7 linked regions of the Oryctolagus cuniculus genome follow. The protein of the gene in region 5 purifies or fractionates together with the protein of the main gene of each other region. This does not show direct contact. Links are inferred from orthologs where the notes say so. Each region holds a gene or a part of one and is shown on either strand. Other genes may lie near its edges. The genes, in order: SUDS3, ARID4B, SINHCAF, ARID4A, SAP30, SIN3B and SAP130.

Region 1 (4,000 bases), on a different chromosome or scaffold from region 5:
TTCGAGAGGATTGTACACCTAGATCAGCTGGTCTTGAATCTTATAAACATGAACTCTGAAATCTAATATGAGCATCTGGCTTGGGCCATGTGTAGACCAAACATTCCCCAGTGAAATGGTTCTGCATGAGTGACTCTGGGGTAGGTAATTCTTATAGTAGAGAAATTCTTACTGACTGGGAATTAGATTTGTCCATTCTGTTCTTGCCACAGATTCTATGGAAGTGAAACCCATCATGACCAGAAAGTTGCGGAGGCGACCAAATGACCCTGTCCCCATCCCAGACAAGAGGAGAAAACCTGCTCCTGATATCCATTTGGATCAAGTTTTAGTCACTTTTTTCTCTTAAGATTGTAGAATCATTTGCCTGTCCATTTGATAGAGTATATATGGCTGTCGTCTTACAGAGCATAGCAACATTTGATTGGAAAGCATCTGTGAGTTATCCATCCACAGGTTGCGGCTGGGCCATTTTATTATCGCAGTCCGTAATTGCTAATTGCTGCTATTAATGGGAGAGATTTATAGAGAGGAGTTATTTGAAAAGGTACTTTGTGTTGGAAATCCAGCCGGGGCAACTGAAAAATTAATGTGCCTTAATTTTTCCACCTGTAAAATGAGGATAGTAATATCTGCCTTTATGTGCCTCAGTTACCTAAATCCCTAAAGTAGTGGATTGAAAACTGTTCTTAAAACAGATGAGATTTAATTCAGATATAAAGCAGCCTCTTTAATCATAAAAATGGGAATGATATGTGGGGAGAAGTGTGTGTGTGTGTGTGTGTGTGTGTGTGTGTATGTATGTATGTATGTATGTGTGTTTTGAGTAAAAGTCTTCAGATCTTTGGAACAAAAGCAGCCTATAAATTCAGGATGAAATTCTTTACTATTTCCTGTGTTCTTGCTATTTTACATACCTACTGAGTCTCATTTTACCTTCTCATCATAGTTTGTAAGGTTGGGGATGTAAATTGTTTTTTATAGCTGGACACCACGACATTTAGTAGGGAAATCAACTTTGCAGGAAGCAAAGTATTATAAAAGTATCATTTAACAAAGCTACATTTTGTAAGCTCTGTAATACTGGTGCCATTTTGTTGCCTTCTGTTTCTTTGCAAACCGTACTTTTCAGACACATTCCTTTAACTCTCAACACCTCAGCTAAACTATTTGTTAACAGATGAACAGATCATGGAGGATCTGAGAACGTTAAATAAGGTACAATTTGATTTTTTCTTAAACTTCTTTGGAAGTCAAAGCTTGACGTGGTTTCCTGCTTCACTTTGTTGTATTGCTTTTACATCATGATACCTCTGACACCTTCAGTTGCTTCTGAAATGATTTTCTCTAAGATTTTTTTGTTGTTCTTCCTACAGCTTAAGTCACCCAAGAGACCAGGTAAGTGCATTATGTTATTGGCGTTTGCAATCTTTTTATTGTATTGTTGTAAAAGCATGCAAATACATGTCAGTGAATTGTTGATGTTTCAAAAATAAAATATTTAGTGTGGGCCCAAAAGCAGTCATGATGAAAACTGAAAGGGATCTTAAGTGTGTCCCTCCTTTGACTATCTTTTTTTTTTTACCTTGGTATGTCATTCTTGTCTTTTCTTTAGGATTTATTATAAAAGACTTTTGACTGGTAGAGGTTCTTTCTATGTGGGCATCAGGCGTAAGATTCAACTTGATATGCATTTTTTTGACAATGAATTATGAAGGGTTTTCCAGTAGGACTCACATTCTGAAGTGAAGCTAGAGGCGTTTCCACGGCCTGATTCTGCTGCCGCGTCCTTGCTATAGGAGAAGCTGACCCAGTGTTCACAGTGGTTTCTTCCAGGGCAGCACTTGAGGGCATGCCAGTTTGCATACTGGAATAATTGCTTGGTAAGGCCTTAAGTGTGGGGTCACTTACACATCCCTCTCCCCACTAAGTTTATTGCAGGCAAAAAGCAACTTGGTGTAGACACAGTCCTGAGTGCCATAGTAGTCCACAGGGACGTCTTGAAGGGGAGAGGGCTTTGAGTGTGTGACCCTACTGTAGTTCTGGAAATTGTCGTTTTTTGAAAGAGATTTTCATTGTTCCTGCCTTTTTTGGACTTCCGATCACCAGGGATTTATTCTTACTCTGATTGTGTATAACTTACACATTGGACCTTAAAGCTTCCTGAGCCTCAGGTTGCTCTTTTGCTCGGAAGGTTAAGTCTGTGACTTGACTACCTCGTTAGGTTGCCTTGAGGGTCAAATTAGATGCAGTGTACAAGAACTGTGTTGAATTCCCATGCATTACTAACATTATAGGAGCTTGAGGGTCATGATTCCACTGCATTCTGATGGCAGTTCAATTATAGCATGCTGGGTGGCGGGCTCAACACGTGTTTGGTACGTACTTAGTCATTCCAGTGTGTCTGGTTCCTCCAGCATCCCCATCCTCTCCTGAACACTTGCCTACTACACCTGCAGAGTCTCCTGCCCAGCGGTTTGAAGCTCGGATCGAAGATGGCAAACTGTACTATGATAAAAGATGGTATGTTACGGGAACACCTGGATTACTTTAAGAGTCTAATAAGAACCAGTTGGAGAGGATCTGGGGCTCTCTACAGTTGTGTGTGTGTGTGTGTGTGTGTTTTTTTTTTTTTTTTTAAGACTTACTTATTTATTTGAGAGGCAGAGAGAGAGATCTTCCATGCTCTGGTTCACTCCCCAAATGGCCACAATGGCCAGAGCTGGTCCGATTTGAAGCCCGAAGCCAGGAGCTTCTTCCAGGTTTCCCATGTGGGTACAAGTGCCCAAGGACTTGGACCATCTTCTGCTTTCCCAGGTGCATTAGCAGGGAGCTGGATCAGAAGTGGAGTAGCAGGACTCAAACCTGCCCCCATATGGGATGCTGGCACTGCAGGTGGCGGCTTTTAACTGCTGTGCCACAGCACTGCCCCCATCTACAGTTGTTTTTCAGAGCATAACTGCAGAATAACTTCACAGTAGTACAAGTGGAACTCCATTTGAAAATGTTCCAGCAGTTACGTGTTGGACACCTATGTTGGATCTCAGCACAATTTTTGAAGTGTGTGTGTGTCTCTGTGTGTGTGTATTTAAGAAGATGTATTAATTTATTTTGAGGGAGTTATGGAGAGAAAGGGAAAAACAGAGAGATCTTCCACCTGCTGGTTCACTCCCTAGGTGGCTTCATTGGCTGTAGTATATGTTTCTTTTTGCCTCCTCTGAACTCTGCCCCTGTGTGCTCAAGTTAATAGGTGTTCTGCACCTAAAAGGATTTTGTGATCACATCAGTTTGGGAGAAGACCATGTTAATTAAGATAAATGGCGGGGAGGGCCAGTGCTGTGGCATAGAAGGTTGAGCCGCTACCTGTGGTGTGAGCATCCCATATGGGCGCCAATTCTTGTCCCAGCTGCTCCTCTTCTGATCCAGCTTCCTGCTACTGTGCCTGGGAAGGTAGTGGAAGATGGCCCAAGTCCTTGGGTTCCCGCCACCCATGTGGGAGAACTAGAGGAGGTTCTTGGCTTCCGCCTGGCCCAACCCCAGCTTTTGTGGCCATTTGGGAAGTGAACTAGTGGATGGAAGATTTTCTGTCTCCTCTTTCTCAGTATATCTGCCTTTCAAATAAATAAATCTTAAAACAACAAAAAGGTAAATGGTTTTTGTTCTTGTAGCCTTCTTTGGATCCTGTGATATGCTGAGGTGCTCTGAATTTCTAAGATTTTAGGTATTTTTTGATAGCTGTATCTTTTCTTCATGCATCATCCTGCTATACAAGTGTACCAGGAAGCTTACTTGGGGGAATTGCATCCTAAAGCATTTCTACTTGAGAGTGAAGAGTGTTTTAGACCTTCAGACTGACAGCATTTTTTAACTAGAAAGGAAGTGGCAAAACAATATGAAAAAACCGTAAGATCTCATACATTTATTCATTCAACAGACACTTACTGTCTGCTTCGTGTTAGGTGTTCTGCTAGGTGTTAAATCACCCTGGGTCTTGCCATGT
Region 2 (4,000 bases), on a different chromosome or scaffold from region 5:
GCCACCAGAGTATGGCTATAGGGACAATCTGAGATGCCATCATCAGTGTTTATGATGACTACTTTGCATCCCAAAAGGTCTGGCCAGGACCAGCACCACTTTTCCCAGTTTCATGAACTTGTCCATTTCGACAGCTACCACTGAGGCCTATAGCCTGTGTCTCTTTTTTACTAGACTCTGTGTTTATGTTCTTATGTTTATTTTCTTAATCCTCTTCACAATGCCTGACAGAAAATTAATTTAAGGTTGCTGTGATGTGTATGCATACTGCTTTACTATTTTCAATGGAGCTACTTTGATTTATAAGCATTTATAGGAAATAATACATCATTAAAAAACTTTCGTCTCTTAGAAATTTTGGTTTAGGAACCTGGGTGGTTTCATACTTACTATAATTGAGTTTATTTAAAAGTCAGATGTCCTAATATTTCAACATTTGTTATTTCTGAGGTCAGAATAGTAAAAATTTTTGGTATAAACCAAATTCTGAATGTATCAAATTTGGTATTTTCTTTGAGACTTGAACCAATATATATATATATATATACACACACACACACACAGACACACACACACTTATATAAATGTATTATCTATCAAAATCTTATTACTTTTTCATTTTTTTGCACTTGAGCTTAACTTAAAGGCTGAGAAGTGATCCACTTTTTAATTTGGGAAGTTTCATTTCATTTTGTCCATTAGATTGAAAGTGGAGCTGTTTGGAAACAAGTCTATCAAGATCTTGGGATCCCTGTCTTAAATTCAGCTGCAGGATACAATGTTAAATGTGCTTATAAAAAGTAAGTGTACTTGATATGGCTATTAACAGTATTTTATCAAGAAAATAGAATAGAACTTACCATATAATTGAGGCTGATTATTTCTTTGAAAAAATTCAGAAAACTCTACTAACACTTTTTGATAGCATTTTCTGGACAGTATGCTATGAATATTAAAATATATGGGAATTTCAAAGTAGAAAGGATTTTTGGCCAACTCCATTTATAAAATACTTAATAGAGGTTTAAAAGTGGATATATTTGGGGTGAGCATGTGGTGTAGCAGTTGACACCATTTGGGACACATGCTTCACATATTGGAGTACCTAGGTTTGAAAAGTACAGTCTCTTGCTTCTAATTTTAGCTTCCTGCTGATTTGCCCTTTAAGGTAGCAGGTGATAGCTCAAGTACTTGGAGAACAAATAAGTGGGTTCCTGCCACCATGTGGGAGACCCAGATTGAGTTCCAGGCTCATGGATTGTGGCTGTTGTAGGCATTTGGGATATGAAACAGTGATGAAGATCTTTCTAATTCATTAATTAATTTTTTCAAAAACTGATGTTCCAATACAACTGGAAACCATTATACTTAGTGAAATAAGCCAGTCCCAAAAAAGACAGATACCATATGTTTTTCTCTGATCTAAGGAACTAATTGGGTACCTAAAATGTAATGTATTGGAGTGTAACAGACATTGTAAGATTCGATGATTGTTTACAGCCCTTGTCTCTTCCTTTGAGGAGCAGTGTTGTTTTTCTTCACACTATTTGTTGAACTCTTTCACTTAGTGTAGGGTTAACCTTACCATCATTAAGTAAACTGAAAATAGATCTTTGTAAATATTAGAGTAGAAATGGGAGTGCGAGGAAGAAGAAGGTTTGGAGCATGGGTGGGAGGGAAGGTAGGGTGGGAACCATCGCTATGTTTCTAAATCTGTATATATGAAACTTGTGTAACAAATAAAATTTGAAAAAAAGAGCTGATGTTCCAGATTCAACGAAATCTGGGTATGAATCTGATTCTGCCGATTCTTAGCTATTTATTCCCTTGGATCACTTATTTGTTCTCCTAAGCCCCATTTTCCTCATTGGTAAAATTGGATAATGCTACTTGACTTATGGGATTATTCTAATGATTAAAGGAGATGTGCTAAAGGACCCAATGCCTCACACATAAAAAATCCTTGACAAATAGATTTTTTATTTTTTTTGACAGACAGAGTTAGAAGTGAGAGAGAGAGAGACAGAGAGAAAGGTCTTCCTTCCATTGGTTTACCTCTCAAATGGCCACTACGGCCGGCGCGCTGCACCGATCCGAAGCCAGGAGCCAGGTGCTTCCTCCTGGTCTCCCATGCAGGTGCAGGGCCCAAGCACTTGGGCCATCCTCCACTGCCTGCCCGGGCCACAGCAGAGAGCTGGACTGGAAGAGGAGCAACTGGGACTAGAACCTGGACTACTGGCGCCGCAGGCGGAGGTTTAGCCAAGTGAGCCACGGCACCAGCCCGACAAATAGATTCTATATAAAAAAGAAAAAGAAAACAAATAGACCCTACATGTATTACTAATACTTTGAATAGCTGCTATTGTTACTGTTTTTATATTTAATATTATTGCTATCTTCACTCTGTACAAATTCTTTTAATGAAGTTTTTGGAAAAATTTTTCTATTTTTTAAAATTAATTAATTAATTAATTAATTTTTTGACAGGCAGAGTTAGACAGTGAGAGAGAGAGAGACAGAGAGAAAGGTCTTCCTTCCTTCCGTTGGTTCACCCCCCAAATGGCCGCTACAGCCGGCGCTGCGCCGATCCAAAGCCAGGAGCCAGATGCTTCTGCCTGGTCTCCCATGCGGGTGCAGGGCCCAAGCACTTGGGCCATCCTGGATCCACTGCCTTCCCAGGCCATTGCAGAGGGCTGGACTGGAAGAGGGGCAACTGGGACTAGAAGTTGGGGTGCCGGCGCCGCAGGTGGAGGATTAGGCAAGTGAGCCATGGCGTTGGCCAAAATTTTCTATTTGTAATAGAATGCTAATATGACTAGCTATCTGAAATCTTAAAACAAATGAATATACCTTTTAAATTGAACTATTTCCACCAAATATTTTTCTTTATGTTTCCAGATACTTATATGGTTTTGAGGAGTATTGTAGATCAGCAAATATTGAATTTCAGATGGCATTGCCAGAGAAAGTTATGAACAAGCCATGTAAGGAGTGTGAAAATGTAAAAGAAATAAAAATTAAGGAAGAAAATGAAACTGAGGTCAAAGAAATAAAGGTTGAAGAGGAGAGGAATATAATACCAAAAGAAGAAAAGCCAAATGAGGAGGAAATTGAAAGAAAGGAAAATATTAAACCCTCTCTGGTAAATCAGTATTGTTACTTGTCCTTTGCCTTCTTTAATATATCTGCTGCATCCTCTATAAATTTCCTCAATTTAATTCATTGTATAAATTTACAGTTTTTATTTGTATATTTTCTTCATTAAGGGCTACATTTGTATAATTTTGATTATAGTAGCCTCTTAAAATGGCTGTTAGATATTTTTGTCGTATGTTTTATGAATGGCAGAAGTTTCTTAAAAGTAATAATTCAATATTAGTATTTGTCGATACCTCCTCTTGTTAAACAATCAAGATCATGGATTTAGGTTATACATTTTTACTTTGGTTGCTTTAGCTCCTTTGATCTTTTTCTAGGGAAGTAAAAAGAATTTATTAGAATCTGTACCTACACAGTCTGATCAGGAAAAAGAAGTTAACATAAAAAAATCAGAAGAAAATGAAAATTTGGAAGATAATGATGATACAACTAGGGTAGCTGAATCCCTCAGCATAAAGGTAGAAGCTGAAGAAGAAAAAGCAAAATCTGGGTAAGAAATTTGTTTTTGGTTACATTGCATTTTGATTAGCTGATTTTTTATATCTTGTTCTTGATATGTATGTATGTATGAATCTAAATCTGATGACAAAATACGTAGTGCTGTGCATTTTTAAATAAATGCCTCCTTCAGAGACCCTACCGATATAGATTTTTAGAGAAAGATCATGTTTTTGATCCATTCTTGCTCTCATCATTGAAATTCATACAATTTTTAGCTCAGTAAAAGTACTTTTTATTGAATTAAGTTTTGCTCAGTGACCAGATAATATGGATTTAGAAAGATGTCCTTTTCTAAAGTTTTGTAGATGGTATGTTGGTTATACATTCTAAGAGTTGTGTT
Region 3 (4,529 bases), on a different chromosome or scaffold from region 5:
GTCGACCAAAACTTGGGAAAAACGTAATTCTTTAACAACCAAACAATCAAAACAAAAAATGTATCTGAACTTGTGTGGACTTTTGGGAGTGTGTGGGCAGGGCATTCAAGGTTATTATTTTCCAGTCATGACCACTTCTAACCTTCAACAAGACCCAAACGCAGCAGAAATGAGGAGAGCAGCAACAGATCCGGAGCTGCTGCTTATCGGACGTCTAGACTGCAGGCAAACCCCGGATTCCAAAGAAGCATCCATGTGTCAAACCGGCATAATTTCTGAGCTATGCCTGGGGCCGCATACCAATAAAAAAAAAAGTTGGCTTGAAAAGAAAAGCGAGGAGGGGTCAGCAGAAGGTCAAGCCCGGTTCACAAGAACCGGAGAGGAGACGGGGCAGGTTGCAGAGCCTCGACCATGTCATCCTCCCCAAAACCCTGGCTTCCCTCAAGGTCACCCCAAGACAAGGCAGCGAGCCACCGCGATACCCTCCCGGCCAGAGAAGATGCCGCGGTCCCTCATCGTTCCCAAAACACTTGAAATGCCAGCAGGCTCTTCTCGGAACTCCACCATCAACTCTGGGACTTGCATTTAATTCCGTTTGGGGCAACGGCACGTGCTGGTCCTGCAAGGCGCATCAGGAAAAGGCTTCAGGGGCACCCTCCGGTCCAAAAGCAGGTGCTTTTTTTTTTTTTCTTTTCATTATGAAAAGCGGAGCAGTGAGTTTCCTGACCCCCTCCTCAGTGGGGACACAGCACAGGGGCGAGGAGGCAACTGTCCGGCGGACAGTCGCTGCTCACCTCCCGGGTGGCTGCGGGAGCCGGAGGTGAGCGCGTGAACGGAACAACAAAGGAGCCGAGTGGGAGCGGATCCCGGGCGCCGGCACGGACCCCGCACCACCCACGGGCCCCGAAACCTACCTCGCCGGCCGCCTCCCACGCGTCCACACACAAAGAGCCCGCGGCGCGCTCGCTTCGCCCCCGCGCCTCACTTCCCCCGCCGCGCCGCGGGGAGCCCCGAAACTTCCCCTCCGCGCCTTTCCGGGCGGCGTCGGGGCTGCGTCCCCGGGACGTGCGGGGGCCCGGACGGTGCGGGGGGCAGACGCCCGCGCGCCGCGGCCCCGGCGCTCCCCCTCACGCTGCGGGTCCACCTCGGGCACGCGGCGGCCGCCGGCGGATGTGCCGGTCAGCAAGACGGCCGCGGCCCGGGGCGAAGTTCCTGCGGGGCCCGGGGCGGCCGCCGGGGAGCCGCGTCCCTCGCCGCCGCCCCCCTCACCTGCGCCGGAACCACGGGCCCCCCGCGCCCGCCCTCCGGCCCGCCCGGCGCGGCGCCTCCCGCAGGCCGCGCCTCCCGCACGCCGCGCTGCCGGGGCTTGTTCCTCCTCATGGCTTTGCCCTGACGTAATTCAAACATGGCAACAGTTCGACTTCAAAGGCGAAGCCACAGACCTCCCAGACGCAGGCTCCCGGGCCGCGGCTAACGGGCCGAGAGGTCCGGGCTGCGCCCTCCGGCCCCCGGCGCAGGGCCCGGCGCGCGGGGGGCTGCCGCCGCCGCCGCCGCCTCCCCCGGCCGCCCGCTCGCCCGCCCGCGCCGCGCCGGGGCGGGGAAGCACGCCGCCTCCGGTGCTCCAGCATGGCACCGCGCACGAGCCGCGCCGCCAAAGTTTCCCCGCGAGGGGCTGAGGGACAAAAGCCCTCCCGAAACTCGCCCGAACTTAGGGGGCCGCGCCCCGCACGGGCCTCGGCGCCGGCGCCCGCGGCGGGGCCCGCACGGGCACATGCAGCCCTTTGTTTTCCGTCCAGCCGGGCGCTGCCTACGTGCGGCATCAGATGTCGGAGCGCCAGTCGGGGGCCGGGCGCGGGGCCGCCACGCCGGGGCAGGGGCCCATCCCACCAACCAAAGTTTTTGCAGCGCCCTGGAGGAGAAACGCCCCGGATCGCGCACCCCCGGCACGGGCGGAGGGCGAGTTGGCGACTTTCGCTCTGCTTTTTAAACTGGCAGGACGCCATCATCGGCGGATCACATTGTCCTGCGGGGCCGGGGGCTGCCCGACGGGTCGCCGCTCCGGAGCAGCGGGGCAACCCGCAGCACGTGGTCTGTCACCGAGGCCACAAAAAGCAGTGCCCCCCCACCCCCAGCCCGCGTCCCCCCACGAGCGGCGCCGCCGCTGCCTGCCTCCTACCCCCCCCCACCCGGCCGCCCCCGGCTCGGCTCCCCGGGCCATCTTGGACCGCAGACGGCGCCCGCGCCACGCCGCGGCGCCCACACCTACGCCACAGGTGAACGCACGGGTGGCACAACTTGGGGCTGCGCGGGCACCGCCCCGGGGCGACGGGCGCGTGGGAGCCGGGCCGTCTTCGGGCGACCGCGTGTGGCTCATTGTCGCGGCCGCATCCCTCCGGACTTGGGCGGACCGCGCCGTGCCGCGTGCGCCCCGGAGGCGCCCGGCGCTGCACCCAGAGGCCCATTTAAACCCCCCTCGCGGAAGCGGAAGGCAACTTAGTTTTGGGGCGGATGGCGCTCATTGTCCACCCTTCGGCGAGACACGCGAGAGGGGCTGCCATGGGCTACACCACGAGGTGCGGCGCCGGAGTGTCCCCCCCCCACCTCCGCCACCGGCCAGCGTCCACGCGGACGCACCGGCCCCTGCCGCCCCGCAAGTCCCTTTCCGCCCGGGCCTTGCAGCCTCCGGGGCACGCTGCGGCGGAGAAAAGTCATTGTCACCTTCAACGTGGATCCCTCAACTCCGCGACTCCCCGGTCATTTCCAGGCTCCGCGCACTCCCCCCACCCCAGGACTTTCGGTTTGCCTCAGATACCCGCCCCGGTGGGGGAAGCAGGCACCCGAGACGCGTGTATACAAAAGGACCCGGGGGCTGGCGATCGCGGAAACGGGGCGCCCGGCATGCCACCTCCCAGACAAAACTTCCTGTGTGTGCGTGTGCGGTGAGCGTGTCGGCTGTGTGTGCAAGGACGGGGAGGTGGGTGAGCTGGAGACAGAGGACACCCCACTCGGAAATCAAAGCCTCGGCACGCAGTCCTGCAGCCCAGCGACCGTCAGAGTTCGCTCACCTTCCCGAGGCAGCCGTTCCACGCGCGATCAGGCTCCCGAGGTGCGCGGTGCACGCAGGCCGGCCCCCTCCAGGCACTCCGTCCTCCTCCTCCGCCGCCGCCGCCGCCGCCTTGTCTAGAAAGATTGTCTCCTGCAGTTCTGCAGTTGCTACCGCGGCCCGGGAAGGTGTAGATTCCGCTTTCGTTCTGCGCACGCGCGCTCCCGGGGCAAGAAATTCTCTTGAATCGGGCTCATTTGCATGCGGGCGCGCGCGCGTCGCGGGCGGGGCGGGGAGGAGGCGAGGCGGCCGCGCGCGCTCCCGGGGCCTCTATTGTCCTTTTAAGGGGAGAAGCGCCGCGGCGCGGGAAACGCGGCGGCCCGCGGGCGGCGGGGGCGGGGCCTGCTTACTACGGCAACGTCGCGTAAACAAACGCCCGCGGCGGGACGCGGTGGACCCGTGGGCCGCGGCGGGGGTGGGCGTGGGGAGCGCGGAGTGTTGGAGGCCGGTTTTGCTGGCACCTGTGACTTGCGACAGCGCGCGGGCAGAGTGCACACGCTGCCTCGGTTTGGCTGCAAGTTGCGTGTTCGCAGCTTTTTGGAAACGCGTGCGCGAGTCCCCCGGAGCCCGCAGGGAGCCCGTGTCCGCGCGGTCACGCTTGGACTGCGCGTGTGGCCGCCGGCTCCCGCTGGCCCCTCTCCCCCAGGGTAGCCCACGCACCCCAACTCGTGCAACTCGGAGACCACGCCACGAACGGGCGTGCTCGTATGGGGACGCAGCCGGGGACGCGCAGGCTCTGTGCACCCGCACCCACGCCCGGAGGATCCCCTCGCGGAAGTCACCTTGCTCCGGTGCGCGGGGCACCTGCCCCAGGCCGCGGGAGGCTGCGGGGAAAGGCTGTTCGTCCCAGAAACGGCATTCTAGTCCCCAGCCGCAGACGTGAGACGGTCAGCCGTGCCGGCCAGTGTCCACGCGCGGAGTTAGGTCGATACTTGGGAAACGCGGGTGTGACACAGCCAGTGCCTGCCGCCGACGCGGAAGCGCCCGAGCCCCCGCGGCTGCTTCTTCCTCAGGTCCTGCACCTGCAAGCGGAGCTCCCGCAGGGCCCACGCCTCGCCCAGGAGAGGGGCTCCCTCGCGGCGACTGGCTTCCCTGCTCCAGGGCCTGGGTCCGTCCGTGGGCAGTGGGCAGTGTGCTCCTGCGGACCGCAGCTCGATCGCGGGCTCCCGCAGCCTCGCAGCCTGATAGATGACCTAAGTCACTCTGCACGTGCAGGGTCAGCTTGACCCACAGGAAGCAGCCCTCATCCTAACCGAGTGACCAGGACTGGTCGCAGGAACTTCATGGACAACCTGGACCCCAGGGGGAAGTCTGTGCCTCCCTCGTTTTGAAGACAGTTTTAAAAGTTGTCCTTGGCGGTCTCAGATACTGACTCGGTTTATGAAAAACCCTCCAAAATTAACTTCTAATTATTACATGCCTCTGA
Region 4 (4,781 bases), on a different chromosome or scaffold from region 5:
AGAAAGAGAGAGATCCTCCATCTGCTGGTTCATTCCCCAAATGGCCTTAAAGGCCAGGGCTGAGCCAGGACAGAGCCAGAAGCCTGGAACTCCACCCTGGTCTCCCACCTCGGGGGCAGGGGCCCCAGAACTCCAGGAACTTCTGCTTTTTTCCCCGGGCACAATCCCAGGGAGCTGGATTGGAAGTGGAGCTGCAGGGACTCAGGCAGGCAGATGGGATGCCAGCCCTGCAGATGGCGGCTCCACCTGCTGGCCCAAAAGAAACAAGAAAAAAAATTTCTATGTCAGATTTTTCAGTACTGGTGCTAGGAACTAGGAGGCAACATGGATCCAGCAAGCAAGGAAGATAATGAAGGGGACTGACTCTCAAGGTGACGGTTAATAAGAGCTGTGGGGTAACACTCGCATGGCAGGAATAGGGAGAAACAGGATAGAAGGGCTCCAGGAAGGCTGTCTCTGAAAAAAATGGAAGGGCCTTGGCCACTGTGGCCATCTGGGGAGTGAACCAACAAATGGAAGGCCTCTCTCTCCCTGTCTCCCCCAAGCCCCCATCTCTCTAACTCTTAAATTAAAAAAATCTTTTTAGAAAGATGATGACAGGGCTGGTGGGCATTTGGCCTAGCTGTTGAAAGTGGTTAGAGAACCTGCATCCCATATAGGATGCCTGGGTTTGACCCCTAGTACCAGCTCCTGTTTCCAGCTTCCTACTAATGCAGACCCCGGGAAGCAGCCGTGATAACTCAAGTGGTTTGGTTCCTGCCACCCACCTGGGAGACCTGGATTGAATTCCCGAATTGCAGCTTGGGCTTCCCAGCCCTGGCCATTGTGGGCATTTGGGGAATGTGGGGAATGATCCAACAGATGGGAGCTGGAATACATGCGTTCGTTCGTTCTCTCTCTCTCTCTCTCTCTCTCTCTCTCTCTCTCTCTCTCTCTAATACATAAAAGGTAAATTGCTTGACAGGCCTAACCAGGCGTATTTCGGGGATGAGTTACTGATAGAGTGACATGTAGCAGATGTGGTCTTCAATCATTCTACTACACATCCAGTGGTCTTTATTTAATTGCAAGAAATAAGATGGAGCAGATAAAAAATGATCAGGCGTCCCATGTTTGTCCTTTACAAGTTTTTGTTTGTTTTTTAAATAACCAGAAGTCTTCCTAGGACTTTTAAACACAAAAAAGAAGAAAAGAGCAAATTAACAAATTGAGATTTCTTCAGAGAATCCTCAACTGCTTTGGGGTTTATTTCTTTAAAGTTTTAGACAACAAAAAGCGTTCTTCTAATAGGCTTCCTCTTTTGGTTTCCTTTTTTGTAGTGGATGTTACATTGAAAGAGTTCTAGCATACGTATAGGAATTTGTCTTCTTGGAAGCCACACCCACAGATATACATCAACAAAGTTAAAACTTTACATAACTGGGAATGTTTGAGTAAAGATTGACAAGAGACAGGAGTGTGTTTTGAGGAAAGACAAGATAAGGGGTGGTTCTGTGGCATAGTAGGCTAAGCCTCCACCTGCGGTGCCAGCATCCCACATGGGCACCGGTTCTACTCCCAGCTGCTCCTATTCCAAACCAGCTCTTTGCTGTGGCCTGGGAAGGCAGTGCAAGATGGCCCAGGTAATTGGGCCCTGCACCGGTGTGGGAGACCCAGAAGAAGCTCCTGACTCCTGGCTTCGGATCAGCCCAGCTCCAGCTGTTGCAGCCATTTGTAGAGTGAACTAGAGGGTGGAAGACTTCTGTCTCTCCCTCTTTCTTGTCTCTAATTCTGCCTGTCAAATAAAATCTTTAAGAAAAAAAAATGATAAAAGCAGAAACTACAAAATGACAAAGTCCACAACACATAAACCCTTAGCCTGTGTTACTATTCCTGGGGAGTTACGGTAGACTTTTCAGGACTTTTTTCCTAGCCACGCACATGCACCTCCATCCTGACCACCATGGTTCCGATTCCTGACAGCAGGGGGGTTTGTCTGGGTGCATTGAGCACTCTTGGGGCCTGTGACCTCAACATAGTCAGACATTCCCTGTCGTGAGAATCTATCTCAGCTTGACCTTGTTTCTGACTTGCGGCAAGCCAGGTTCCTCACTGGGATTTTCCAAGTTGGGATTTCAGAGTTTATTGCTCTTTAAGCTTCACATTTTACAGTGTTTTTAAATTTCTTTTTTAACTTTTAAGTTGTTTAATGGAGCAAAGATGAATTGCATGCTATTGAGCCAATCAAAATGTTTGCCGAAACTTTGCTTATTTCTCATGCAACATTTAGGAGGCCCATGATTGAAATGAATGTTAAGAATTTTGTTTCCTAGTTGCTGTTGGTTAGGCATCTTGGTGTAATGGATTTTGAATCTAACACGGTTGTTTTGCTTCCACAGTGTCTCATACAGGAGCCTCCATGTCATCTGCTTCATCAGACACTGGAATGAGTCCCTCATCCTCATCACCCCCACAAAATGTACTTGCTGTAGAGTGCAGGTGATAAATGTTTCCTCTGCCTTCCCAGCTGCCATGGACATAAATCCCCAAACCCTGAGACACAACCACAGAAAGCACTCAACTGGTTTGACATTGCTAAGTATCTCCTCTATATTCTTCCAGGCTGGATCGTACCTAGTCCCTTCTTATTTCCTTTTTTCTTGTTGAAAACAAATAAGCAGATGAATAATCGAAGGTTAGGCAGCCTGCCATATTTGTCATAACTTTTCCTCTTTCTTTTTTTTTTCATTTTTTGTGATAGAGAAAAAAGGGCACTTAGCAAATTTGAATTTGTATAATAAAGCTTTCAGGTGTTATAGAAATCATAGACAAGCAAGTGCACATGATAAACATCAAAATATTATCCAGCTGAGTAGTTACCGTTGCACTTTCACTGAGATGTGTTTGAACACTTGGTGAGTAGGGGGTTTATGTTGTATTTTTTTGTTGTTGTTTTTATTTTTGTGGAAGCACTTGCTATTTAGAACTGCCAAAGTATATGTTCAGCAGTGTGCCCAGGTTTAAAGATGTAAATGGGACAAAATAAATTGTGAAAGGAAGTGTAGTTGACTGAAAACTACAGTTGTAATAAGTCTTCCACTTTTTATAGGATTTTTGAGCACACAATTATGCAAATATTTTAATGTTTATTAATGTTTACAGTGGAATTGTGAATAAGTTTTCAGTGGACTATCTTATCCCTTGACAAAAATATTTTGTCTTTTTTCTATGTAATTTCAGAGTTTTTATTTTGTTACAAAAAGACAAAAATGAAATATATAACAACAATGAAGTTATTTAACAAGATTTCTAAAGCTGAAAATTTTGTGTAAAATAAGGTATTATCTTGCAACTTGTTAAATATATTTATTCAGACATTGGATGTTGTATTTTTATGTATTTTTTAAAATATTAATAAAATTGAAAAAAAGAAAATTCTAGGTTAATTCACTCTTTGGATGGCAGTAGCTCTCAGCTGTCCCTGGCCTGGTTGAAGGGAGTCTGTCTCAGTCCTTCAAACAGTAGAGAACTATGAATGGGCATCTGGATCAGTAAAGCATGTCCTTGTTTAGAGACTTTGGCAGTCCTAGTATTTAAACTGTTTTGAGGATCAAATTTTTGGTTGCCCTTAAGATACTTTGTCACAGTTTTTATGTTTGCTGTACTGCCGAATAAATTTATATCTCCCAAAGTTGAGATGCAACAACTAAGTAAAGCAACTATGTATGCTTCGTCTGTGAATTGTTCCACAGACTGATACATTTTGTAAATAATTCTTCCAAAATCATGTATTTAAGCAGTTTTGCATATATCTTATGTAAAAAAAAGTGATTTTTTAAAAGCGATTTTTAAATTCATGTTTGTACATTGAAGGGGTTTTTTTTTAAACCTCCTTTTCTGTGTTTAATATGCTGTAGAGTAATAATCTAGATGCTCTAGACTGTATATCAGGATCTGATTTACAAGAACAAAGTCAGAGCTAAACACTAGTGATGACATAGCATTACTGAAATCATTGTTTCTTAATTTCATTTTACCACATTGTGAATTTGTGACTCAGATTCCTTCCATTTTCTCAGAGAATTAAAAACAAAAAAGTACTCTTGTAAAATGCACTTTTCTGTCTTTTCTTTGCAAAGCAGAAGTATTTCAATGTAAAATAAAAAATGGAGCTCAGCGGGCAGTATTAATAAAGGCCATGTTTTAAACATAGGCTTTATATGCTTAGTTTTCATTTAAGTGATTGCTTTTGTTCCTAAGTGCCAATGACTTAAAATTGGAAAATCAGATTTTTCAAAGCAAAGCATTTCAATAGTTACAATAAAGTATTTCTTGTACTTAACTATAAAAATAAAAAATATGTATGTCATTCAATTGGAACTAGGAGACAACCTTACATTTATATGTTCGATATTTTAATGATGTCCCTCAGTAGCAGTTCAATAAATCTGAGATAGCTAAGTTATCAGATTCAGTATTGTCCCTTCTAATTTATCTAAATGTGGTAATGAAGTATTAGGATGTTGCTGCAGAGAACAAAATTATATATTCACTGAATAGGTACACAGTCACTGTTAAAATCATTTTATTTGGCGGCTGGAGAGGATTACAAAATTGAATGAATACTGTCTTCATTTAAATTCACGACAGATCAATTATTGGCATATTTTGAGCTTAGCTAAACTTTGGATAGCTCTTATGGCTACAAAACAAAGTATAAAGACATTTAATGTCTAAAATGGAAAGTTGTTTATATAATGTAGTTATTTAAATATTATGGCACTTCATATTTTAGTATTCCA
Region 5 (4,556 bases):
CCCAGATTGCATTTCTGGCTTCTTGTTTTTGCCTGGCCCAACCCCTGCTTTTGGGGGCATTTGAGGAGGCATCCACTGGATGGGAGATGTCTCTCTCTCCCACCTGACCCCCACTTTGAACCTTTCAAGTATGTGCATAATATTTTTAAATAACAAAGCAGTGGCAGGTGGCCTTGTGACATAGTGGAGTAAACCACCTTCTGCGAAGTAGACATCCCATTTAGGCAATGGTTCCAGTCCTGGCTGCTCCACTTCCAATTCAGCTCCCTGCTAATGTGCCTGGAAAAGCAGCAGTGCATCGCCCAAGTGCTTGAACCCTGCACCCACGTGGGAGACCTGGAAGAAGCTCCTGGCTCCAGCCCAGTCCCTCCCTTATGGCCATTTGGGGAGTGAACCAGCAGATGGAACATCTCTGGCTGTCTCTGCCTCTCTTAATCTCTCTGTAACTTTGCCTTTCAACAACAACAACAAAAATTTTAAAAAGACTATTAAACCGGTGCGCTGTTACCAGTTAATGCGCAGCTTTTATATTAGCCACGCCCTTCCTCCAAACCCGCCCTCCACCAGCACGCTCCCACATGCAAGCATACACACGTACGCGCGCACATGCACGTACACACACGCGCGCTCACAGGAGCCTGTTGCAACACACACGGCCGTGCAGTCCGCTCGGAGAATGCGGCTTTTCTCCACACTGGGCAGAGCTACCCCTGGGGAGTTTCCGAGGAGCAATCCAAATGACTTAGGAACGCTGCAGTCCGCGCCCCTCTAGACGCCTCTTTCCTTCAGAGGCATCCGAGGAGAAACTGACAAGGTTGGGAATGGAGGGAAAAAGTAGTCCAGTTACTGTCAACTAGCCAGTGATTCTACCCCAGGAAGCGACCTGCTTTTTGCACCTAAGAATGAAACACTGAAGGAACGAACAAGGATTTAGAAAAGGCATTTTTGAGTAGGATCTGTCACTGTCAAGAAGTAGGCATTTCCTTCCTAGCAGTCGTCCCGTTAATTTGCTGCAAGAAAGAGGTGTTTAGGCAAGCAGAGGTGTTAGCTGCAGGACCTCAAAGACCTGGAAAGCGCCAGCTGACTGAATTCTCCTTGGTTTGGTTTCCCTCAAAAGCATAGTTCACCAAAAACGGTTTTACCACACACGCAGAACGGCCCCGAAACTTTTTTTTTTTTTTTTTTGCACGCTCACTTACTCCCCCACCCGCCTTTATGCTTCCCCTCAGAGTCGGCTGACTTCCTCTGAACACCAACCCCGCGAAATTCCAGGAGCTAAACACCACCCAACTTCCAGGGAGACACAGGAGACTAGAATAAACAGCGTAATCCACAACCACACACTCCTGTTTTCCCTGTGCTTTGGAAAAAAAATCGGCCCGCTGTGGCGCGATGCATGCTGGGATGTGTAGTTCATCCAGTTTACTGGACGCCAGATTAGGGCGAAACTCAGGACGACTTCGCAGTAGGGAACTACAATTCCCGTGGTAACTCGCGGCAGAGTGGAAGGGGCGGAAGGGGGGGGGTGCGTCGTGCTTGCGCAGGTCCAGGGGCCGAAGGGAGGCGGAGGCGCCGCGGTCCAAGTGTTGAAGTCTCCATGTGACAGTAATCGGGGTCCCAGGTCCCTGTGCTGCCCCACTCTTGAGTCTTAACCCCCAGCACTGTCCACTCTCCGGCGCCAACGGTAATCGCCAGGCTGGGGACATTGCGTGTTTGGCCGGGCCATCGCCGAACTTGGGGTGCAGAGTGAATTGCCGCCGCCGGATCGTGTGCCCGAGGGACCTGGCGGAGAGAGGCGGAGCGGCGAGACTAGCGGGGATTTCTGTCGGCGCCGGCGCCTCGGAGCGCGGAGACATGAACGGCTTCACGCCTGAGGAGATGAGCCGCGGTGGGGACGCAGCCGCCGCGGTGGCCGCCGTGGTCGCTGCAGCGGCCGCCGCCGCCTCGGCTGGAAATGGGAACGGGGCGAGCGCTGGGGCTGAGGTGCCAGGAGGCGGCGCGGTCTCCGCGGCTGGGCCCCCGGGAGCCGCTGGCCCGGGCCCCGGGCAACTCTGCTGTTTGCGGGAGGACGGTGAGCGGTGCGGCCGGGCGGCAGGCAACGCCAGCTTCAGCAAGAGGATCCAGAAGAGCATCTCCCAGAAGAAGGTGAAGATCGAGCTGGATAAGAGCGTAAGTGACGGCGGGACCGCCCCTGTGGGGCTCCAGCAGCTGGGCAAAGACACGGGTTGTTGGCAAGGTTCAGCCCCCACCCCCACCCCCACCCCCACCCCCGACCTGGCTGCAGTGCGGACTTGCGAAGTCTTAGCTCGGGAGCAAACAACAAAGTCACTGCAACTCCGACCGCCACCCCCAACACGCAAAAACACACGCTGCGGTGCCCCTCCTCCTCCTCCTCTCCCCACCCCCCGACCTCCCGCTGCATGCGTCTCTCCCGCGCAGTCCTCCCTCTTCCTCCTCTGCTGCAATCGGGAATCGAAACAAAGGGGCAGGTCGCACGGAGCACCCGGAGTAGTTTTCTTGCAGCCCGGCAACCCCTTCTTGGAATGGAGGAGCCTTTGTTGTGCTGCCCGAGCTGGCGTGTGGCCCCAGGGTGAAGTAGCTGCCCTACTCTGGGGAAAGTGGAGTCCAATCGGACCTTACACCCAGGAAGGTCCTTGGTCCGGAACACAGAGCGAGATCCCCCCACCCTGCCGCCTCGCGCGGCGCAGGGGCTGTACACCGTGTTTGCAGTGTCAGCTGCTCCGCAGCTACTCTGAACGTGGGAGCACGTAGCCTCTGCGGTCTTGCCATTCGCTTGGCAGCCATCAGGATTCCGTTTTCTGTTCTTTTGACCGACTGGGAGGGTTTTAGAAACACCCATTGCTACTTTTCGGAGTTCTGGCTGGCAATCAATGAATACCAAGCTGTCAGAACCTAGCGCGCGTCCTGCATGTTTTTAACTGAGGCTTAGCTTGAAAATTGTCAAGCCTGTTAGCTCAGCCCTTTTTTTTTTTTTTAAGGAATTAGCTGTCAAAATATGAAGCCCAGTATTTCCGTGTCGCTATACAATTCTCATGAAAATATGTAATTAAAGCTTTTGAAAAGTTTATTGTGACATTTTCTGCCTGTTTTAAACAGCTCTTTAGTGGTATTCGTGAGAAACTTTTCAGGTGAATTTGAATAATTTCAGATTACTTTGTATCACATACAAATACATTGATTTAATACTTAGAAAAATTTATAATTGAAATTTAAATATAGGATAAAAATTAATAGCTAGTTTGGAAAATGTTGTGCCTGTAATATGATTTGGGTAGTAAATTAGATTGGAAAGCATGCATGGTACTACTTAAGTTTGCTCTTTAAGCGGAAAATACTATCAGGTAACAGAATTGTGGTCAACATCATCTTCTCCCTTGCCAGTTAAAAATCCAGCCTGAAATAACTAATTCAGGTCAACCTTTGCAATTTGATGACAAAACCCAGAGGACTGGAATTTCTCATTCTCCTTTTTCTGCCTCTGTCCCTCCCCCAAGTGGCACTACACTCTTCCTCCTCCCACTCCGCTCTGTATTGCCAGACATCTGGTTTAACAAGGCCTAGGATTTAAGACTAGAAACATACTCTTGTCTTACCAATGGCTTGTTTTGACTGTTTTCAATAATTCCCTGTGGCCTATGTGTGTATTAATGCACAGAAACATTTTACTGTAAAATAAGCAGTCTGTGAACTCTTTCTGTTTCAGGCAAGGCATCTTTACATTTGTGATTATCATAAAAATTTAATTCAGAGTGTTCGAAACAGAAGAAAGAGAAAAGGCAGTGATGATGATGGAGGTGATTCACCTGTTCAAGATATTGACACGCCAGAGGTAGATGAAAATTTTTGTATGTTTAATGTAACTCCTAAGTAGTTCATTCTGAAATTTTTATAAAAACATTTGAGGAAATTTTTTAAACATTTAAAACATTTGAGAAATCTGGAAATGAAAGCAAAGTTAAATATACCCAGTTAATAAAAGTTATACAGTTTGAATTATTATATTTTCAGTTGACAACTATTAGAATTTTATTCATATATATAATATATAATACCACCACCAGTTTATAGTATTTATCCCAGAAAGATTAAAGTGTTTATATATAAACCATGGAGTTAAGTTTGTATTGTGCTGAAGTTGAAATTTTGTTCTTGAACCTATCAGTGGTAAATTTTAAAAAAACAGTATGGACTAATTCATATGTGTAAATTTTTTTCTAGGTTGATTTATACCAATTACAAGTAAATACGCTTAGGAGATACAAAAGACACTTCAAGCTACCAACCAGACCAGGACTTAATAAAGCACAGCTTGTTGAGGTATATATGAGTTTTATGTTATTTAAACTTTAAATTAGCTGGTTTGATTTTTTGAATCTTCTGCTGGAATAGGTCTGCATATAAGTTCCTGAATGTTATTTCAATAACTTAACTGATTTAACTATGACAAAATTGTTCTTGTTGATGTTAATTTGTTTTATGAGAAGCATCCATGACTTCTTCTCATCTAAAAAAAAAGTAAAGCCTTTCATTCAAGT
Region 6 (4,000 bases), on a different chromosome or scaffold from region 5:
TCAGGTATATAGGACGTAAAAGTCACCATGCTGAGCGGAAGTGCAGCAGCCGGGACTCAAACCTGCACCTGTATGGGATGCCGGCGCTGCAGGCAGGGGTTGTGCGGGCTCGAGCCGCGAGGCCCCGGCGCTGCTGGGATGGTGGGGCCACGGCGTTCTTCCACGAGAAACACCGGAGACAAGTTAACCACCACACAGGTGGAGGGGGTGTGGCTAACTCAGGGCAGCGCTCACCCTATAGGGGAGAACCGATATGGGATATGGGTGCCGCTCTGCTTCTCCAATCAGCCCCAAGGTCACGGAGCTCGGCTAGCACCCCAGGTGGTCCTGATGGGCCTGCGCCACACCCGGGAGCTCCCTGTTACAGGGAGCCGGGTGGGGAAAAGTGCCTGCCAGCAGTCAGGGTGTGGGGCCCCTCCAGGAGGCCTGGGGCTCCCGGCTGTCCACCTCCTGCCCGGGCAGGGCAGACTCCCTGCCAGGCACAGCGTCACCCTCACTGCTTTCTTTTGTACTACAAAGGAGCAAGCTTGCGTAACTGACTTCCAAATAAAAGAGGGAGACACAGAGCGCTTCCACCCACTGGTTCACTCCCCAGTTGGCCGCAATGGCTAGAGCTGGGCCAGGCCAGAGCCAGGAGCTCCATCCGGGTCTCCCACGTGGGTGCAGGGGCCCAAGCACTTGGGCCATCCTCCTCTGCCCTCCTGGGCCACTGCACGGAGCTGGATCAGAAGTGGGGCAGCTGGGACTCGAACTGATGCCCATATGGGATGCCTCAATGCCAGCCCCGTGAAACATACCTTTTAATTCGCTTTTTGGGTAACCTGTTTGAAGTTCCCTCATGTTCTGACTGCCAACTTGAGTGCAGCTGGCTGGTTCCTGTCCTCTGGCCTTGGCCCCCCGGTGCCGGTCACTGCCTTGATCTGGTCGGGCCGCCTGCCCAGCGTGGCCCGCTGCTGGCTCCCCACGCCTTCTGCGTGGGAGCGGCTGTGCGCCCGACTCTGACCTTGTGGTTCCCCAGCCCCCGGGTGCCCATCTGCAGCCGGGGCTGAGACGGCTGTGCACCGGCCGGTCCCCGGAGGCTTCCGCCTCGTGCAGGCCCCGGGGAGCCCGGCCCCCCGGCTGACGCTCCCTCCCCGCCCCCTTGCCTCCCCGGGCGGCAGAAGGAGCAGCTGGGTGCCAAGGGCCGGCCGTTCCGTGGCATGTCGGAGGAGGAGGTGTTCGCCGAGGTGGCCAGCCTCTTCCGCGGCCAGGAGGACCTGCTCTCCGAGTTCGGCCAGTTCCTGCCTGAAGCCAAGCGCTCCCTGGTGAGTGCCCGGGCCCGCGCCAGGCCGGCACACCGCCTGGACCCGTGGGCTGCCCCCAGCCCGCGCCGGCTGCACCGTGTGGCCACTCCACCCGCAGTGGTTCTTAAACTGGCGCTGGGGGCGGGGGTGGCCACCACCTCTCAGGTGCTGGGTGGGACTGGGGCCGGCCTCGGGGTGGATGGGAACGTGGGGGTGGGGGGGAGGGGGCAGGCCGCTGCCGGTGCTGTCTTGTCCACTTCCTCTTTTCTCACCCTCTTTCCAGTGAGCCTGCAATTTTGGTTTTTTCCTTTTATTGATGTGGAATTCAGGCAACAAAATTCACCATCTCCAAGTGGCGTTTGGGGCACTCACAGGGTTGGACAACCTCCGTCTCTTCTCTGGCCCCATCCTAGTGCCTGGAGCTGGGTGCCCTCAAGGGCCTGGACTCTGGGGGCTCCAGCCCTCCTGACCCCCCAGGTCGTGTGTCGGCTCCCTGTCATGTGGGGACCCAGCAGGGCAGTAGCGTTCTTGCCGGAGAAGCAGGTGTAGACACGGGCACTCGTGCAGGAGGAGGTGTAGATGCTGGGCATTTGTGATAGAGAAGCAGGTGTAGATACTGGGCCCTCATGCAGGAGAAGCAGGTGTAGACGCGGGGCCCTTACGCAGGAGAAGCAGGTGTAGACGCGGGGCCCTCACGCAGGAGAAGCAGGTGTAGACGCGGGGCCCTCACGCAGGAGAAGCAGGTGTAGACGCGGGGCCCTCACGCAGGAGAAGCAGGTGTAGACGCGGGGCCCTCACGCAGGAGAAGCAGGTGTAGACGCGGGGCCCTCATGCAGAAGCAGGTGTAGACGCGGGGCCCTCACGCAGGAGAAGCAGGTGTAGACGCGGGGCCCTCACGCAGGAGAAGCAGGTGTAGACGCTGGGCCCTCGTGCAGAAGCAGGTGTGGGCTGGAGCTTGCAGGCTTCGCCCTGCCTGGCCTGGGGAAGACCCCCGGGAGTACTGGAGGCGGGGCTACGGGAGTCCCCCAGGGACAGGGACGGCCCTCTTCCGCAAGCCTGTGTCCCGGCCCCCTGCCCTCTGATGCGCCTTCCCCTGAATTCCGGGCCCTGCCCGCTCTCAAGTTCAGAATCTGCCCTGTCCCCTGCCTCTTCCTGGGGCCCTGGCTGCCTGCCCGCTCCAGGGACTCGGTACCCGCGGAGCAGACGGGTCTCAAGGCCTGCCTGTGTGGCGCAGCCGCGTGGTGGGCCATGTGGGCCCCCGTGTCCCCCCGCTGTCCCCGGGGCCGCTGGGTGTTGTTTGTGGGTGGTCCCCCCTGGGTCTGGGTGTCACCGCTGTGTCCCACACCTGCAGCGCTCCGCCTAGCACGCTGCCCCCAGATGGGACCTGCGGTGTCCACGCTGGGCTCCCCAAGCCACCGCTGCAGCACTGAGCGGGCAGGGCGGTCTGGCCCTCACGGTCTCAGGAGGTGCTGTGGCTGCCTCCCGGAGGGGAGGCGCTGGGGTAGGAGCCTGGGGGATCAGCGCCCCCTGTGGGCCGCGGGGAGGAGGCCGAGAAAAGTTTGCTTAGGGAAGTCCCGGCCGGAGTGACCCCCCCCCCCCGTGTCCTGGGGTCAGTGTTGCACGTGGGGCTCCGTCTACTGGGCTGTGGGGCGTGCACAGTGGACACTGCCATGGGGGAAACAGGCCGGCCGATCTGTTCCTGCCCAGTGGGTGTCGGGGGTGGGGGGACACTCTGGTTCTCTGGTGGCTGTGGCCACAGCGCCCTCTGGTGGGCGCAACTCAGCCTTCGCCAGGCGGCCCTTCCGATGCGGGAGCCGCATCGCCCAGGAACAAAGTCAGTGTAGCATCGTTAGTGACTCGGGCACAAGAGCGCCCTTGTGCGTTGAGAAAGAGCTGGGCCGGTCCAAAGCCAGCAACCATCCGGGTCTCCCACGCGGGTGCAGGAGCAACCACTGCTTTCCCAGGCCATGGCAGGGAGCTGGATCAGAAGTGGAGCAGCCGGGACTCGGAGCGGCGCCCACATGGGATGCCTGCCGGCGCCGCGGGCGGCTTCCCCACTGGGCCGCGCTGCCGCTGTATGGCCCGCACTGCGGGTGAAGATCCTGGTGCTGAGTCGGCCGTTCCAGAGCCGCTTGTGTAGGCCCGGGTGCCCGCTGGGGAGAAGCAAGGGCTGGCGGCTAGCCCAGGAAGCAGGCCCCCCACCAGCTCCCGGCCCAGCCCCCTTATGTCCCACAGAGGAGAGAGCCCGGCCGTGTCGGGTGCGGTGGGTAAGACGCCCGCATCCCACAGCAGAGCACCTGGCTCCACTTCCCACCCAGCTCCCTGCAAATGTACCTGGGCAGGCCCCGCCCCCACGTGGGAGACCCGGATGGAGCTCCTGGCTCCTGGCTCCAGCGCTGGCTGTTGTGGACGGCTGGCGGGCGTGCTGTCACTTTTGAAATAAGTAGAAGTAGAGAACTTTTTTTTCTAAAGGAAAGAGCCCAAACCTTGGTGTCCAGGCTCCCATCGGTGGCCTGGTGCACAGCAGCCCCTCCCCCCCATTTCCGGGGCGCTCACGTGCAGGCGGTGGGGTGGCCCCGGCGGGGAGCACCTCCGGCAGCTTCTGGCTTCACAGGCGCCTGCCTGCGGGGCTCCGGGCCCCTCTTCCTCCCCCGCCGCAACCCGGCCCCCTCGCTGACCACCCCACGCCCCGTCCTCAGTTCACAGGAAACGGGCCG
Region 7 (4,000 bases), on a different chromosome or scaffold from region 5:
AGTAGAAATGGAACATATGTTCAACAAAGGACAGGTAAAAAATATTACTATTCATAATGCAAAAAAAAAAAAACCCTCTTAACAGTGAAATGAGTTGAGGTTTATTCATGAAAGTGTCTTCTAACAGTACAGTGGATTTGCAGTTTGTTCACAGTCACATACTTCACGGTACTGAGAACGCGTGCGATCTATAGTAATGTGAATGACTCTCAAACCTGTAAGTGAAGGCAGGAAGGCACAAAGGCCATCTTTGTTTATATGAAGTTCTAAAGTAGGCACCACTGACATATAGTGTTCCAAGTTAGGGGGTGGCCAAGCGTGGCAGGGGTATCCTTTGGGGCTGACTGGAGAGCTTCTGAGGGATCACTGGTGTTTGGTTTCTTGAGCCAGGGCCTCGTTGCTCAAGTGGATTCAGTTTATGGAAGTCCATTGAACTGCGCAATTGGCATTTGCTTGTGCATTGATCTTTATGAAGATTTTACTTCCATGACAAAAAAACTTTAAAAACTCACCCTAAATCAAGAAAGAATGAGAGATTTCTAAAGGTTTCACCAAGTAATAACTGTTAGAGCCATCGAGGATAGATTTTGAGGAAGCTTTATTTTCTTTATGGTTTTCCAAATAAGTTTTCTACGTAAGTAAATTTTATCTTTATGTTCAGAAAAATAAGCATAACAGCAGCATCTTGTGGTTGAGGTGGGGTCGGCATTCTTTTTTTTTTAAAGAAACAAATGTAATTGAACTTTAAAGATTTATTTATTTGAAAGGCAGAAATACAAAGAGAGAAGGAGAGAGAGAGAAAGATATCTCGATCTTCCATCTGCTGGCTCACTCCCTAAAGGGCTGTAACAGCCACGGTTGGACCAGGCCAAAGCCAAGAGCCGGGTCTCCCAGGTGGGTGCAGGGGTCCCAGGCATTTGGGCCATCTTCCACTGCTTTCCCAGGTGCTTTAGCAGGGAGCTGGATCAGAAGTGGAGTAGCTGGGACTTGAATTGAAGCCCATGTGGGAAGCTGGTGTTGGAGGCGGTGGCTCCTCAGATGAAATTGTTTTTTATCCTGTGTTGTACTTGCAGTGATTTGAGTTTATTTTGTATGATCATCAGACCCTATGTTCGTAAGGGTGCAAAAGCCACAATATCCAGGATAAATCCTGTGTTCTGCAGTTAGGACCCTCAGGGCTGATTTCCCCAGCAGGGGAATCTGGTGCCCAAGTTCTCATTGTTAAGAAAACCTCTCAAGGAAATGGCCAGTTTGTCAACTCTGAAACTTAGCGCAAGTGCCACTCTTAGCTGTGCTGCCACGTTGATTACCGTTGGGAGATCATGCCATCCTGTCTCACCCTTACTGTCTTTACCAGTCAATGATGAATCTGGGCGAGATGCCGAAGTCAGTGCCAGGGAGCACATGGGTTCCAGCAACTCCCTCCAGTCTCGGGAAGAGAAGCAGGAGCCTGTTGTGGTAAGGCCCTATCCACAGGTGCAGATGTTGTCTACACATCACGCTGTCGCATCGGCCACACCTGTCGCAGTGACAGCTCCACCAGCACACCTGACGCCAGCAGTGCCACTCTCATTTTCGGAGGGACTCATGAAGGTAATGGAGAGGCTTAAAAGTTTGCCCTGAACCACAGCTAACGACCAGCTGATACCTGTAACAGTGTTCACAGAATCTCAGGCTGTGTCCTAGGCTCACACTTGGATTTTTTCTTTTTCACGTGTCAGTTCAGCTGTCCTCCGTAACTCAGAGCCCTGCTGTTCTGCAGTGTCTGGCTTGTGTGGCCAGGCAGTCGGCATCACAGCCTCTTTCCCCCGTTTTGATACTGATATTATTCAGCTTAGGGACTTACTAAGTTTTTGTCTTAAGAGTGGCACTCTTCAAGGTTTGTTTTACTAGCTGGCTAACTTGGGGGTATCTGAGAATACTGTCTTGCTTGTGACCTTGGGTTATGTTTCAGTTACTGGGAGTTTTGTTTACTTCCACCCAAACTTGGGAGGCAGCATTGTGTAGAAGTGAGGGCATGGGCTGGGAGCCATACAGATCTGGGCTTTATTCCCAGTTCGACTTTTTACTGTCTGTGTGGCTTTGAAGGAGTCACTTAGCCTTGCTTTGTATGTTTCCTCCTCTGTAAAGTAGAAATGCTAGTACTTCAATGCAGACGCTGTTATGCTGGGGGAGAAACTGTATAAGACGTATGGCGTCTTTGCTGGCACTCTCCAGCTTTGATTTGTGTACTTTTAACTCGAGAGTGGAATGCATCGCTAGTATGAGGCTATTGATGTATTTCTTATGGTTTTCTGTTTGCAGCCGCCCCCGAAGCCCACCATGCCTAGCCGTCCCATTGCTCCTGCTCCACCTTCTACCTTGTCACTTCCCCCCAAGGTTCCAGGGCAGGTTACCGTTACCATGGAGAGTAGCATCCCTCAAGCTTCAGCCATTCCTGTGGCAACAATCAGTGGACAACAGGTTTTTTTCCTCTTCATTTGTTGATTTTCAAACTGAGATGCAAAACTGTTAACCCTTATTTATTGAATTCCAGCCGAATACTAGATAATGTCCTAAAAAAGCTGGCGTCTTTAAGGGGAGGAGGGTGAGGATGGGAGAGCTACCTTAGGGAGTAGAAGCCTGTATTCATAGTGGTAGTTTGGGTAGTATTGGTTTGTTTGTTTTTATCTGCAGGAAAGGCAGAGAGACAGTGGCAGACAGAGATCTTCCCTGCTCTGGTTCACTTCCCAAATGCCTGCAACAGCTGAGGCTAGGCCAGGACAAGACCAGGAGCCTGGAACTCATCTGGGTCTCCCACGTGAATGGCAGGGATCGCCTGCAGCCTCCTGGAGCACACGTAGCAGGGAGCTAGAATCACATGTGGAGCCAGGGCTCGGACCCAGTCACTCACAGGGGATGGGGGCGTCCCAAGCTGTGTTTCCATCCCGGGCAGTATTTTTAGAGCATCTGCTGTGGTGGAGGGCCTGCCCCCTGTGGGATAGACATCTAGATACGACAGCCGTGCTCTTCAGGAGTTGAGGCAGGCAACTCTGATAGGGCAGAAGCTTCCCAGCAGAAGAGGGCGTAGTGCCCTGCATTTTCTCCAGTTAAGTGTGCATTTCTTGGGGTGCTGGTGTGTTCCCTCAAGCAGCCTCTACTTGTGAACACTTAACTTGGCATCTCTTAATTTTTTTTTGAAATTTTATAATCCTACTCCATTATGTATGCTTGATAGTGGCGTCCAATATAAATTAAAACAAATTTAAATTATTTACTAATAAAAAACTGAGTCTCAAACTCTTTCCCTTTATGCTTTCAAAAAACACTGATAACTGAAAAGATGTGCTGTGTTTTTCCCTTTTGTCCTAGTGTTGGGTACTTGTGGAAGTGTGGGAACCTCCACCTGAGAAACGCTGGTATCAGAGATGTAGGGAAGCGCGAGGAAGGGCTATGTCAGGCATCAGCTGAAAAGCTGGTAGGGGAGTAGCTGTGGGATGCTGCCCAGCATGTACTTAGAAGACTGTCCGTGAAGAATGGAGGGATACAGTGGCATGCAAAGAACATAGGGCGAGGCAAAATAAGCATTTGGCCAGGATGAAGAAAACAAGCATGAAAGGCTAATGAATGGCAGATGAGAGTTTCTAAAAGGAAGCAGCCAAATACGTCATCTGTTCTGGGGCCCAGCAACTCGGTGAGCCTGGAGCAGGTGCTGCGTCCTCACAGTTGCTTCTCTCGTGCCTGTTGGCAGGGGTCATGATACAGTCTGCTGTATAAAAAAAAGCTAAAGGCCACGTCCTCAGCCCATTGCCTTGGGGCACACATTGTCTAAAAGGACTGACATGACCTGGGTTTGGAGGCCCCTGACTTCCCAAAGGCAGTGGTTCATAGCAAGCGCATGGAAGTAACGCTACATCTCGTTCCTTTCAGGGACATCCCAGTAACCTGCATCACATCATGACCACGAATGTACAGATGTCTATCATCCGCAGCAACGCTCCCGGGCCCCCGCTGCACATCG

The links.
Region 1: the proteins of SAP30 (region 5) and SUDS3 purify together in Homo sapiens (affinity purification with mass spectrometry; 4 studies listed by BioGRID and IntAct, with this or other methods). This does not show direct contact. The link is inferred for Oryctolagus cuniculus from reciprocal best matches to the Homo sapiens genes SAP30 and SUDS3.
Region 2: the proteins of SAP30 (region 5) and ARID4B purify together in Homo sapiens (affinity purification with mass spectrometry; 5 studies listed by BioGRID and IntAct, with this or other methods). This does not show direct contact. The link is inferred for Oryctolagus cuniculus from reciprocal best matches to the Homo sapiens genes SAP30 and ARID4B.
Region 3: the proteins of SAP30 (region 5) and SINHCAF purify together in Homo sapiens (affinity purification with mass spectrometry; 4 studies listed by BioGRID and IntAct, counting the BioPlex papers as one, with this or other methods). This does not show direct contact. The link is inferred for Oryctolagus cuniculus from reciprocal best matches to the Homo sapiens genes SAP30 and SINHCAF.
Region 4: the proteins of SAP30 (region 5) and ARID4A purify together in Homo sapiens (affinity purification with mass spectrometry; 5 studies listed by BioGRID and IntAct, with this or other methods). This does not show direct contact. The link is inferred for Oryctolagus cuniculus from reciprocal best matches to the Homo sapiens genes SAP30 and ARID4A.
Region 6: the proteins of SAP30 (region 5) and SIN3B purify together in Homo sapiens (affinity purification with mass spectrometry; 4 studies listed by BioGRID and IntAct, with this or other methods). This does not show direct contact. The link is inferred for Oryctolagus cuniculus from reciprocal best matches to the Homo sapiens genes SAP30 and SIN3B.
Region 7: the proteins of SAP30 (region 5) and SAP130 purify together in Homo sapiens (affinity purification with mass spectrometry; 4 studies listed by BioGRID and IntAct, with this or other methods). This does not show direct contact. The link is inferred for Oryctolagus cuniculus from reciprocal best matches to the Homo sapiens genes SAP30 and SAP130.

The regions. Positions count from the first base shown.
Region 1 is NC_091452.1:14,546,871-14,550,870, forward strand, and holds part of SUDS3 (sin3 histone deacetylase corepressor complex component SDS3), read left to right. Parts: intron 1-212; coding exon 213-308; intron 309-1,156; coding exon 1,157-1,218; intron 1,219-1,376; coding exon 1,377-1,398; intron 1,399-2,417; coding exon 2,418-2,523; intron 2,524-4,000.
Region 2 is NC_091444.1:54,475,919-54,479,918, reverse strand, and holds part of ARID4B (AT-rich interactive domain-containing protein 4B), read left to right. Parts: intron 1-702; coding exon 703-800; intron 801-2,898; coding exon 2,899-3,142; intron 3,143-3,476; coding exon 3,477-3,649; intron 3,650-4,000. UniProt on the Homo sapiens protein: Acts as a transcriptional repressor. May function in the assembly and/or enzymatic activity of the Sin3A corepressor complex or in mediating interactions between the complex and other regulatory complexes.
Region 3 is NC_091440.1:127,601,820-127,606,348, forward strand, and holds the start of SINHCAF (SIN3-HDAC complex-associated factor), read right to left. Parts: upstream 3,198-4,529; 5' UTR 3,066-3,197; intron 2,858-3,065; exon of another isoform or gene 2,719-2,857; intron 1,259-2,718; exon of another isoform or gene 915-1,258; intron 1-914. UniProt on the Homo sapiens protein: Subunit of the Sin3 deacetylase complex (Sin3/HDAC), this subunit is important for the repression of genes encoding components of the TGF-beta signaling pathway.
Region 4 is NC_091443.1:18,443,083-18,447,863, reverse strand, and holds the end of ARID4A (AT-rich interactive domain-containing protein 4A), read left to right. Parts: intron 1-2,378; coding exon 2,379-2,482; 3' UTR 2,483-4,191; downstream 4,192-4,781.
Region 5 is NC_091433.1:55,749,885-55,754,440, forward strand, and holds the start of SAP30 (histone deacetylase complex subunit SAP30), read left to right. Parts: upstream 1-1,516; 5' UTR 1,517-1,854; coding exon 1,855-2,169; intron 2,170-3,724; coding exon 3,725-3,850; intron 3,851-4,239; coding exon 4,240-4,338; intron 4,339-4,556. UniProt on the Homo sapiens protein: Involved in the functional recruitment of the Sin3-histone deacetylase complex (HDAC) to a specific subset of N-CoR corepressor complexes. Capable of transcription repression by N-CoR.
Region 6 is NC_091447.1:65,109,639-65,113,638, forward strand, and holds part of SIN3B (paired amphipathic helix protein Sin3b), read left to right. Parts: intron 1-1,160; coding exon 1,161-1,304; intron 1,305-3,982; coding exon 3,983-4,000.
Region 7 is NC_091434.1:118,460,867-118,464,866, reverse strand, and holds part of SAP130 (histone deacetylase complex subunit SAP130), read left to right. Parts: intron 1-1,357; coding exon 1,358-1,593; intron 1,594-2,304; coding exon 2,305-2,463; intron 2,464-3,909; coding exon 3,910-4,000. UniProt on the Homo sapiens protein: Acts as a transcriptional repressor. May function in the assembly and/or enzymatic activity of the mSin3A corepressor complex or in mediating interactions between the complex and other regulatory complexes.